2 linked regions of the Rattus norvegicus genome follow. The protein of the gene in region 2 purifies or fractionates together with the protein of the main gene of each other region. This does not show direct contact. Links are inferred from orthologs where the notes say so. Each region holds a gene or a part of one and is shown on either strand. Other genes may lie near its edges.

Evidence for each region. Proteins that work in one complex are often made in the same cells at the same time.
Region 1: the proteins of Wdr5 (region 2) and Paxip1 purify together in Homo sapiens (affinity purification with mass spectrometry; 7 studies listed by BioGRID and IntAct, counting the BioPlex papers as one, with this or other methods). This does not show direct contact. The link is inferred for Rattus norvegicus from reciprocal best matches to the Homo sapiens genes WDR5 and PAXIP1.

The regions. Positions count from the first base shown.
Region 1 is NC_086022.1:8,257,794-8,261,765, forward strand, and holds the start of Paxip1 (PAX-interacting protein 1), read left to right. Parts: upstream 1-1,172; 5' UTR 1,173-1,286; coding exon 1,287-1,367; intron 1,368-1,459; exon of another isoform or gene 1,460-1,623; intron 1,624-3,848; coding exon 3,849-3,972.
Region 2 is NC_086021.1:31,234,456-31,238,545, forward strand, and holds the start of Wdr5 (WD repeat-containing protein 5), read left to right. Parts: upstream 1-1,290; 5' UTR 1,291-1,571; intron 1,572-4,090.

The DNA of each region.
Region 1 (3,972 bases), on a different chromosome or scaffold from region 2:
CTGATGGCTGTAAAACAAAGTGGCTCTGCTCTGGGTTCGTTTGAGATTATAAGAACATCAACACTTAATCTGCATGAAGGTCACAGAAAACACAAAGCCTGATTAAAGAGCAGTGTCAAGAGTGCAGGACTTGTCATTCTGCGAGGGCACCACGGCAGTTTCAGCTGTCATTGTCATTCCTGTAACTTTATACATCCATACTTATTACAGTTATCTGTGAAGACAATTTCTTATGAATTTTGCTGTTTACCTTTAAGAACTATGTTGACGGAGGCTTGGAGCGCTCAGGAGTTCAGAACACTTAGTTCTCTTGCAGCATCTCCAAAAGTTTGGTGCCCAACACCCACGTGCTGTGTCACTTCAGTTCCAGAGGATCCTGAAGCCATCTTCTGACCGCTGTGGGCACCAGATACTCACCGGGTACAGATACATACATGTAGGGGGAAATCCAATACACGTAAAGATTCTACATTTATTTAGAGTGTGTGTGTAAGTGTGTACGTGTGTGAGTGGAAAGGTCAGAAAACAACTTGCTGGAGCCGGTTTATGCTTGTCACCACGTGTGTTCTAGGGATCGAACTCAGATTGGTGGTAGGTGTCTGCCTGCTAAGCCAAGTCGCCGGCTCCTACTTTGCTCTTAAGCTGCATCACCGAAGATCAGTTCCCCGCCGACTGCCGCAGTAGGTGTGAAAGGGGCGGATGAAGGAAACTGACCATTAGCCAGGGTCTGCCTGACTCTAGGCTGGACCGTGGACAGCACAACAGCCGTAGCAGCGACAGCTGAATTCAGAACGCTCGATTGTGCGGGTTGCCTTCCGCACCGAGGCTCCGCCCCTTCGAGCATGCGCTGCCAGGTGGCCGCGCGGGGTGACGGGAGTCCCGCCCAGGCCCCGCCCTCTGGCTGGTCCACCGCGGCTGTGCGGGGGATTTAGTGTCTCTGTGACTTCTCTTCTCGGTCGCGGAAACTCGGCGGGGGCAAGGCTGCCAGATGCTGTGTGAACTGTTTTAGAAAATCAGCTCTGATGCTAGACGCGATGGTGGAAGGAGCGCTGTGCGGCGCTCAAGGTGGAATAGTCCCACATGCTCCCCTGCCGGTCCGGTCCGGTGGTACGTGCCTCAGGGCGCGCGCGGCTCCCGCGCTCCGGGCCTCGGACGGGCGGGGGCGCGGGTCGGAGTGCGGCTGCGGCTGCGGGCCGGGCTGTGCGGCCGGGCAGTTGGCATAGCTGCGACGCTGGGCGCGGCGGGCCGGGTGACGCGGGGCCGGGCGCCGCCGCGCCGCCGCGATCATGTCGGAGCCGGCGCCCGAAGTTCCGGAGGAGCTGTTCCGCGAGGTCAAGTACTACGCGGTGGGAGACATCGACCCGCAGGTACCGCCCGCGCGGGGCCCCTCCGCCGGGCCGTCCCCCTCCCCGCTTCGTCGCGCGCGCGCCCTGCAGGACCCCAGGCCGGAGCCGCGGGGCACGCCGGGCCGCGCAGGGCCGCGCAGGGCCGCGGGAAGGGTCTCGCGAGCACCGACCCAGCGCGTTCGCCGGCCGAGCATCTTGCGGGGCCCTGCTGAGCGTGTCCCTTGCCTAGGGGCCTGCCCTCCCGGTCCCTGATTTTTCCCTAAGGGTGGACTGTACGGTAGGTATGGAAGGTACCCTGCTTACACGGTCACAGTAATAAGTGCGTGTGACCGTGAATCTGGATCCATCCACAGGACAGTGGATATCTTCAGGACTGTGGTATCTTCAGGACAGTATCCCAAACATTTCTTTTCCTAAACTATGCTTGCAGTTGTGTCGCCTTCGGTGTCTCATAATGTAAGCTAAACGGGTCCTAAGGAAGGAATTGTCCAAGAGTCACTGAGCATGGCCTTCCAGAGACTCATACTTGTATCCTAGTAACCGAGGTCCGTTGGGTCTTCCGTCGCGTGCTTATAGCAGACTTTTTCTAGTACTGATCACCCCATTACCACCACCACCTTTCTTCTTCTTACCCTTTCTTGTACTTCATTTTAGGATTTGGGCTCTTAGAAGGGTCCTGGACTAAGTGTCACTTGAAACCAAGTACACACTGAACTGAGCTGTTTGCCCAATTATATGTGAAATCTGAGTGCTTTAAAAAGAATCCCCCTTGTAAAGCTTTCTATTCTGAAATAGTGTGTATTTCAGAAAGGTTTAGAGCCAGGGCACCTATTCTTTGAGTTTTGTAATACAAATTGAGGAAGCTCACAGGTGGTGAGCACCCCAGTACAGACTGGGCATCGGGCCTGGTAAACGGAGTGCTGCAGAGGAGTGCACTTGAATGCTGAGTCCTACAAATAGAACAGGTGGAGGTGCTGGAGGTGTTGAGTCTTAAATAAGCGGATATTGAATACAAGAAGTTGTTTGTGTGGACTGTGTGTTCTAGGCGTTAAAGGCATATGTATACTTGGCATGTGTCCTGATGGTCACTGCGCATAGTTACAAGGTGGTTCCTGTGAGGTGGAATTAGTAATGTCCAGTTTGGGAAGGTTTGGGTGTCCTTGCTGTGTGAGACCTGAGTTTTCACAGTTTGATGGCCACTCCAGGGAGCTGGAGCGTGAATGTGGATAGAAGGTGTTGAGCACAGTGAGACTTGTTTCTGGAAATTTGTCATGAAAAGAAAGCACTGGGACCCAAGAAGGGGAGGCTGGGGAGAGCTTGCTGTGTACGTGTTTCTGAGTAATGTGAGGCTGAAGCAAGTGGATGACGTCTGTGGATGAAGGTAAAGATACTTGGTGCAGGGAAGCTGGCTTGTGGCTGGCTGTTGGTTTTCCATGCATCAAGAACAGACTTCCCGGGCTGCTCCAGTTCTTAGTGATGCTTAGCAGACCATCCTAGACTGCATTGCTTTTGGCTCTGTTTTGACTCCGGCCCGCATACCACAGTCCAGTCGTTCTCCTCTGGCGCTACTCCATGTATTCCTGACAAGACCTCAGCATTTGACATCCTAGTGGCTGCCATGTTGACTCTCAGAACTTTGACTGCCACCTCTAATAGGTTATCTCTGGAGAGCCAGAGTCCTCTCTCCATGTGACTGATAGTCTCTCACCCGCTCACACAGGACCAAAGAGTAGTATACCCACACTGAAACCCAGCAATGCCCCTTCCTCTCTACTTCCAGTCAATCCCTCTGGGAGATGCCAGCATTTCCTGCTCGGCTTTTCTGCCGTGCCTATACCCTGTCTAGTTACTGTGTGGGTAAGTCTGTTCTGTTTGCTGCTGACGTTTCTTAGTGCCCTGCCTCTTAAAGTTGTCAGAGTGCTCACAGTTGTGTCTTAACGAGTGTTCTTCTGTTGCTGTCCATCTGTAAGATCTGGTGGTGCTATCTTCCTTTGTGATATCCTTCCATGATTTAAGGAAGGATTGTTATGCAGAGCACCCAAGAAAACATTGACCATGGTTGAATCTGAGTTTTCCTGCTAGGCCCTCCCTTGGTGTATATACTTTGCCTGATAGGCATCTACAGGTTAGGCTTCTCCTGGTGGGTCTCTGCGTCCAGAACTTACTATCTGTAGTGGAACCAGTCGTCAGCCTTTGGGTTGGATACCCGGAACAGGTATTCTGTACAGCTCAGCAGGTGCTGGTGTGTGCTGTCTGTCTGGAGGGCCACTAGCAGGGGTAGCTGGCCACCCATCTCTGTAACTTGGACTGTGAATCAGGGTTGCTACATTTTATTGTCCAAATGGATTTTATTGGCTTTTCCATTCAAGAAAAGGCTTCTCTGTAGAGGACAGGGTATGTTTTTATTAAGTGTTTCTATTGTAGTTAATCATGACTTGTTTGAATTAGGAAGGCAGTATAGTACTTTGTTGTTATTGATTGTGCTGTTGTTTCTTTCCTTAGGTTATTCAGCTTCTTAAAGCTGGGAAAGCCAAGGAAGTCTCCTACAACGCTCTGGCCTCTCACATCATTTCGGAGGATGGTGACAACCCAGAGGTGGGAGAAGCCCGTGAGGTCTTTGACTTGC
Region 2 (4,090 bases):
TGTTAGTGACACTTGCCTTTCCTGTCCACAGTTTTGTTTGTCTTCTAAGTCAGGTAGCTCCTCTCTTGTTAGCATGCAAGCTCCCTTCTTTCCTGCCTTCCCTGGACACGCAGGGGAGCTTTTCCTGCGGCGATAGTTCCTAAGATCTTTTTCTGAGTGTGGGGGTGCACAGCAGAGTCTCTTTGTGGCCCAGCTTAGAAGAGAGGCAAGTATGTTCAATTTGAGCTGTGGTTTGCAGTGGCAGGAAGCCCCCGCCCTGCGGTAGGCAGGGGAGACCGCAGGCGCTCCGGACTTCCGGACCTCGTGGACGTCCACCAGTGGCACCAAGAGGGTTTCCTAGAGTCCAGGGCAGGCACAGGCCACGACAGGCAAGCTGCTATTAGCTTGGCGACATAGCCTGGAATTTAACAGGAAAGGCACATAAGCACATTTTTACCCATCTTTAACTGCAGAGAGTTCCGGTCTGCAGGCACTGAAAATTAGTGGCGGTCAAATAGGAAGCAAGAATCATAGGTGGGCCCTTTAAGGCGCTCCGTCTCCTCTAATTTTTCTGACCCTCGTCGCCGCCCGTTGCCCCGCCCCCTCGCGCACGCGCAATCCCTCCCGCCTCCCGCGCCGCGGCCGACTGGTCCACCAGATCGTCTGCTCTCGCGCGCAGGGCCAGCCGAGGCGACGCCAGAGCGCCCGGCCCCGCCGCCCCGGCCCCGGCAGGTAAGGGAGTGACCCGGTCCTGCGGGCGCGAGGGGGGCGGCGACCACGAGGGCCCACGGGCTTCGGGATCCACAGCGCCGCACGTGTTCCGTGGGCCTCCGGCCGGGCCCGGCGCCGCATTTGTGGCCGCGCCCCGACCCCGCCGCCCCTTGTGGCCGCCACGGCTCGCTACTTCCACTGCGGCCCCTGCTGCGCCCCTAGACCCGTAGCCCTGCGAGCTCCTCGTGGCTCACACCTCAGGCTGGCGTCCCTGGGAGTGGGGACACCCAGCTAGCATCTCTCAGGTTTCCTTGGCCACTTGGCGCTTTCGTGCTGCCACCACAACCTTCACCCGTGTCCTAGTGCAAGTTTCTACCTGACGAGGGCTGACTGGTCAAGTGGGTTTTGAGCACTGTCTGGGTCAGCCAGGCAGTTGAGAGTACAGTGGTGTGAAGCCAATGGTACTAGGACCTAGGGGTATCCAGTAGTCCAGAGAGGATGGGTTGGAGCTCTTTGTTGGGTTACCTACTGCACTCACCTGAGTGACTGGACCATTCTGTCTTCCCATACTTGTGTACTCAGTGTCTAAGGCGGAAACAAGGAATCTGCATTTGATTGGAGGGAGACTGATGGCTGCTGCCCTTCCATGATCACGTTCCCTGTAGTGTAAAGCTGCGGTTGCCAGTTAACTGCCTCCTTTGTGGGCCGTGGAGGCCAGCTCCAAACCACCTGCTGAGGATCCTGCTTAACACACCTCCCTCCCAGAGCTGTCCTCTTCAAGTCCTGCTTTCCGGTGACCTTAAAACAGAACACCTGAGTGCTCTCTGTCTTGGACTCTACCCAGTGGAATTGGAAATTGGTTTCCTTTGAGACGGTTTCAGGTTGGTGCTGGCTTCACATTTAACTATGAATTCCCGAACCTCCTGAATGCTGCGAGGTAGATTGGCTAATGCTAATGTTCTTTCTTTTCTTTTTCCTTTTTTTTTTTTTTTTTTTTTTTTTTTTGGTTGGTTGTTTGGGGCTGTGAACTTATTAGAGCTGGGATCAAAGTGTGGTGCACACCCAGTGTCTTCATATGTTAATATTTGGCTTCCTGAAAGAATCAGTTTATAAAGGGTGGGATGGGATGGGCAGGGTTGGGTATCCTCGTGCTTGTTTTGCAAGGCCATTCACCCGAGGCTAGGTGAATCTCTTTATATGCTAAAAGACACTGCTTAGTTCCTCGAGACTTCCTACCCCAGAGATCTGCCCTGCTCCCTTGGCCTTTTATTTCCCTGAAGCAGGGAGATGTGGTAGGACTTTCTATCTCATTACTTAACATCTTCTCAGCTCCTCTTGCTACCTGTATGATCCACAAACATGTTGGCTCTGGGAACTCATGGCCATATAGTTGCGTTAAGCAGCTTCAGGTCAGGCCTGGGAGTTGATTTATGCCTGTTACACCAACCATACTGCGGCTATTGAGGCAGGATTTTGAATACTGGTGCATAGCAAGACCCTGTCTCCAAAAAGCTAAAAACACCAAGCAGCTGGTATTTCCTGGGCACAAGAGCTTTGCTTTGTGGAGGGACCCAGGCAGGGGACCTACCCCTAGTTGGATCCTTGCACCTGGGCTTGAGCTACAGCAGAATTTGACCTTGGTGGAGCAGGCTACACCTGTGCCCTGTGTGGTGGGTGTTACTGTTCCTTCCTAGGATTGAAGACTGAGGCTTTGGTCTCTTTTGGTGTTGTCTCCTCTTAGTCTCCCGTGGGGTCTGTGTGAGGTGTCAGGTTTAGTCTCAAAGCTAGGCTGTGCATCGTGATTTCTCCTTACACTGATGGCTGAGGGATCATGATGGCCAGTGATGTTTGCATGTCTTAGGAGCGCTCCATTGGAGGAGCACTAACTCACTTCCCAGTCACGGGATGGCCTGTAAACTGTAGGAAGTTGTTGCAGTTGCACTGCTGAAGGGAGTAACTGCTTTCCCTCAGCTCTGCAGCTTCTTCTGGTGCAGTTTCTCTGATGTTCTTCCTGCTACTCCTCCTGGGAGGTTTCATATGGGGGCGGTGTCTACTTTGCTGTACTCTTTCTTGTAGCTCTTTTTATAGTACTCTGTGCAAGAGTCCTTGAGCTCTGTACGCTCTTAGCATTGTAGAAGGCAGTTTGCAGCCTGTGAGGTCAAAGGGAGCCGAGGTGGAGGCCACCAGGTACAGACAAGACTCCTGTGTTTCCTCAAATTCTTTGGGTGTATTTTAGAATTTGCCTGAGTTTCCAAACTTCTGCACAGAAGGTCTACTCTTGTCACTTGGTCTGTTGTTTCTGTTAGAAAGCCTTTTAAAAACTGTATCAAAAGGCCCTGGGTTCGGTCCCCAGCTCCGAAAGAATAGAAAAAAAAAAAAAACTGTATCAAGGAATCTTTGAAGCAGAGCTCACATTCCGGTACACATCTGTATACTGCAGTGGGAAGCCTTCTTGAAGCTTAAGTCTTAGGCTCACAGAAGGTTCAAGAGTAGACCATCCATCACACAGAGCACCTGAAGCTGCAGCCTCGGTACAGTTATCCCCAGCTTGGAGCAGTTTATTTGTTGTAGGGTTCAGTGCTGCGGTCATGTTCTCCTTTTTACCCATTTTCTTGGGAATATTTTTATTTTTATTTTGTTTGAGTACAGTGTAGCTGTCTTCAGACACACAGAAGAGGGCATCAGATCTCATTATAGATGTGGTTGCTGGGACTTGTACTCAGGACCTTTGGAAGAGCAGTCAGTGCTCTTAACTACTGAGCCATCCCTCCAGCCCTAGAGTCACTGTTTTTTTGTGGGGGGGTGAGGTGGTCTTATGCATGTTAGGTGAACACTCTTCTATGAACAGCTCAGTCCCAAGAACCTTTTTGTTGTTTTGAGACAGGATTTCTTCTGTGTAGCCCTGACTGTCCTGGAGTTCACGCTTTTTTTTTTTTTTTTTTTAATATTCCTTCCTCTCTTATCTTTTTATAAAACACAGCACAGAGTATGCCTTTTTTGTGCGTGTGTTTTATAAAAATAAGGAGAGAAGGAATATGTTTGGTGGAGGAGAGATATGGTGTGAGGGAATGGTGTGGGGGGAGGGGGTGCCTCTGCAGGCTCATGCGGAGACATTCCTTCCCCTGAGGGACCAGCCACACAACAGTCAACAGTATATTGTAGAGTTTATTCAGGGCATGGGAGGGGAGTTGAGAGGGTAGCAGAGACCGAGAAAGGCAGAGATAGAGTTGAGGGATGCCAGCCATGAGCACATGGAGAGAGAAGGGTGAGGGGAATGGGGAGAGAGGAGTAAGGAGGGAGAGCAAGAGAGTGGAGTTCACTCTTTAGACTAGGCTAGCTTCAAACTTGTAGATACACCTTCCTCTGCCTCCCGAGTACTGGAATTAAAGGTGTGTACCAC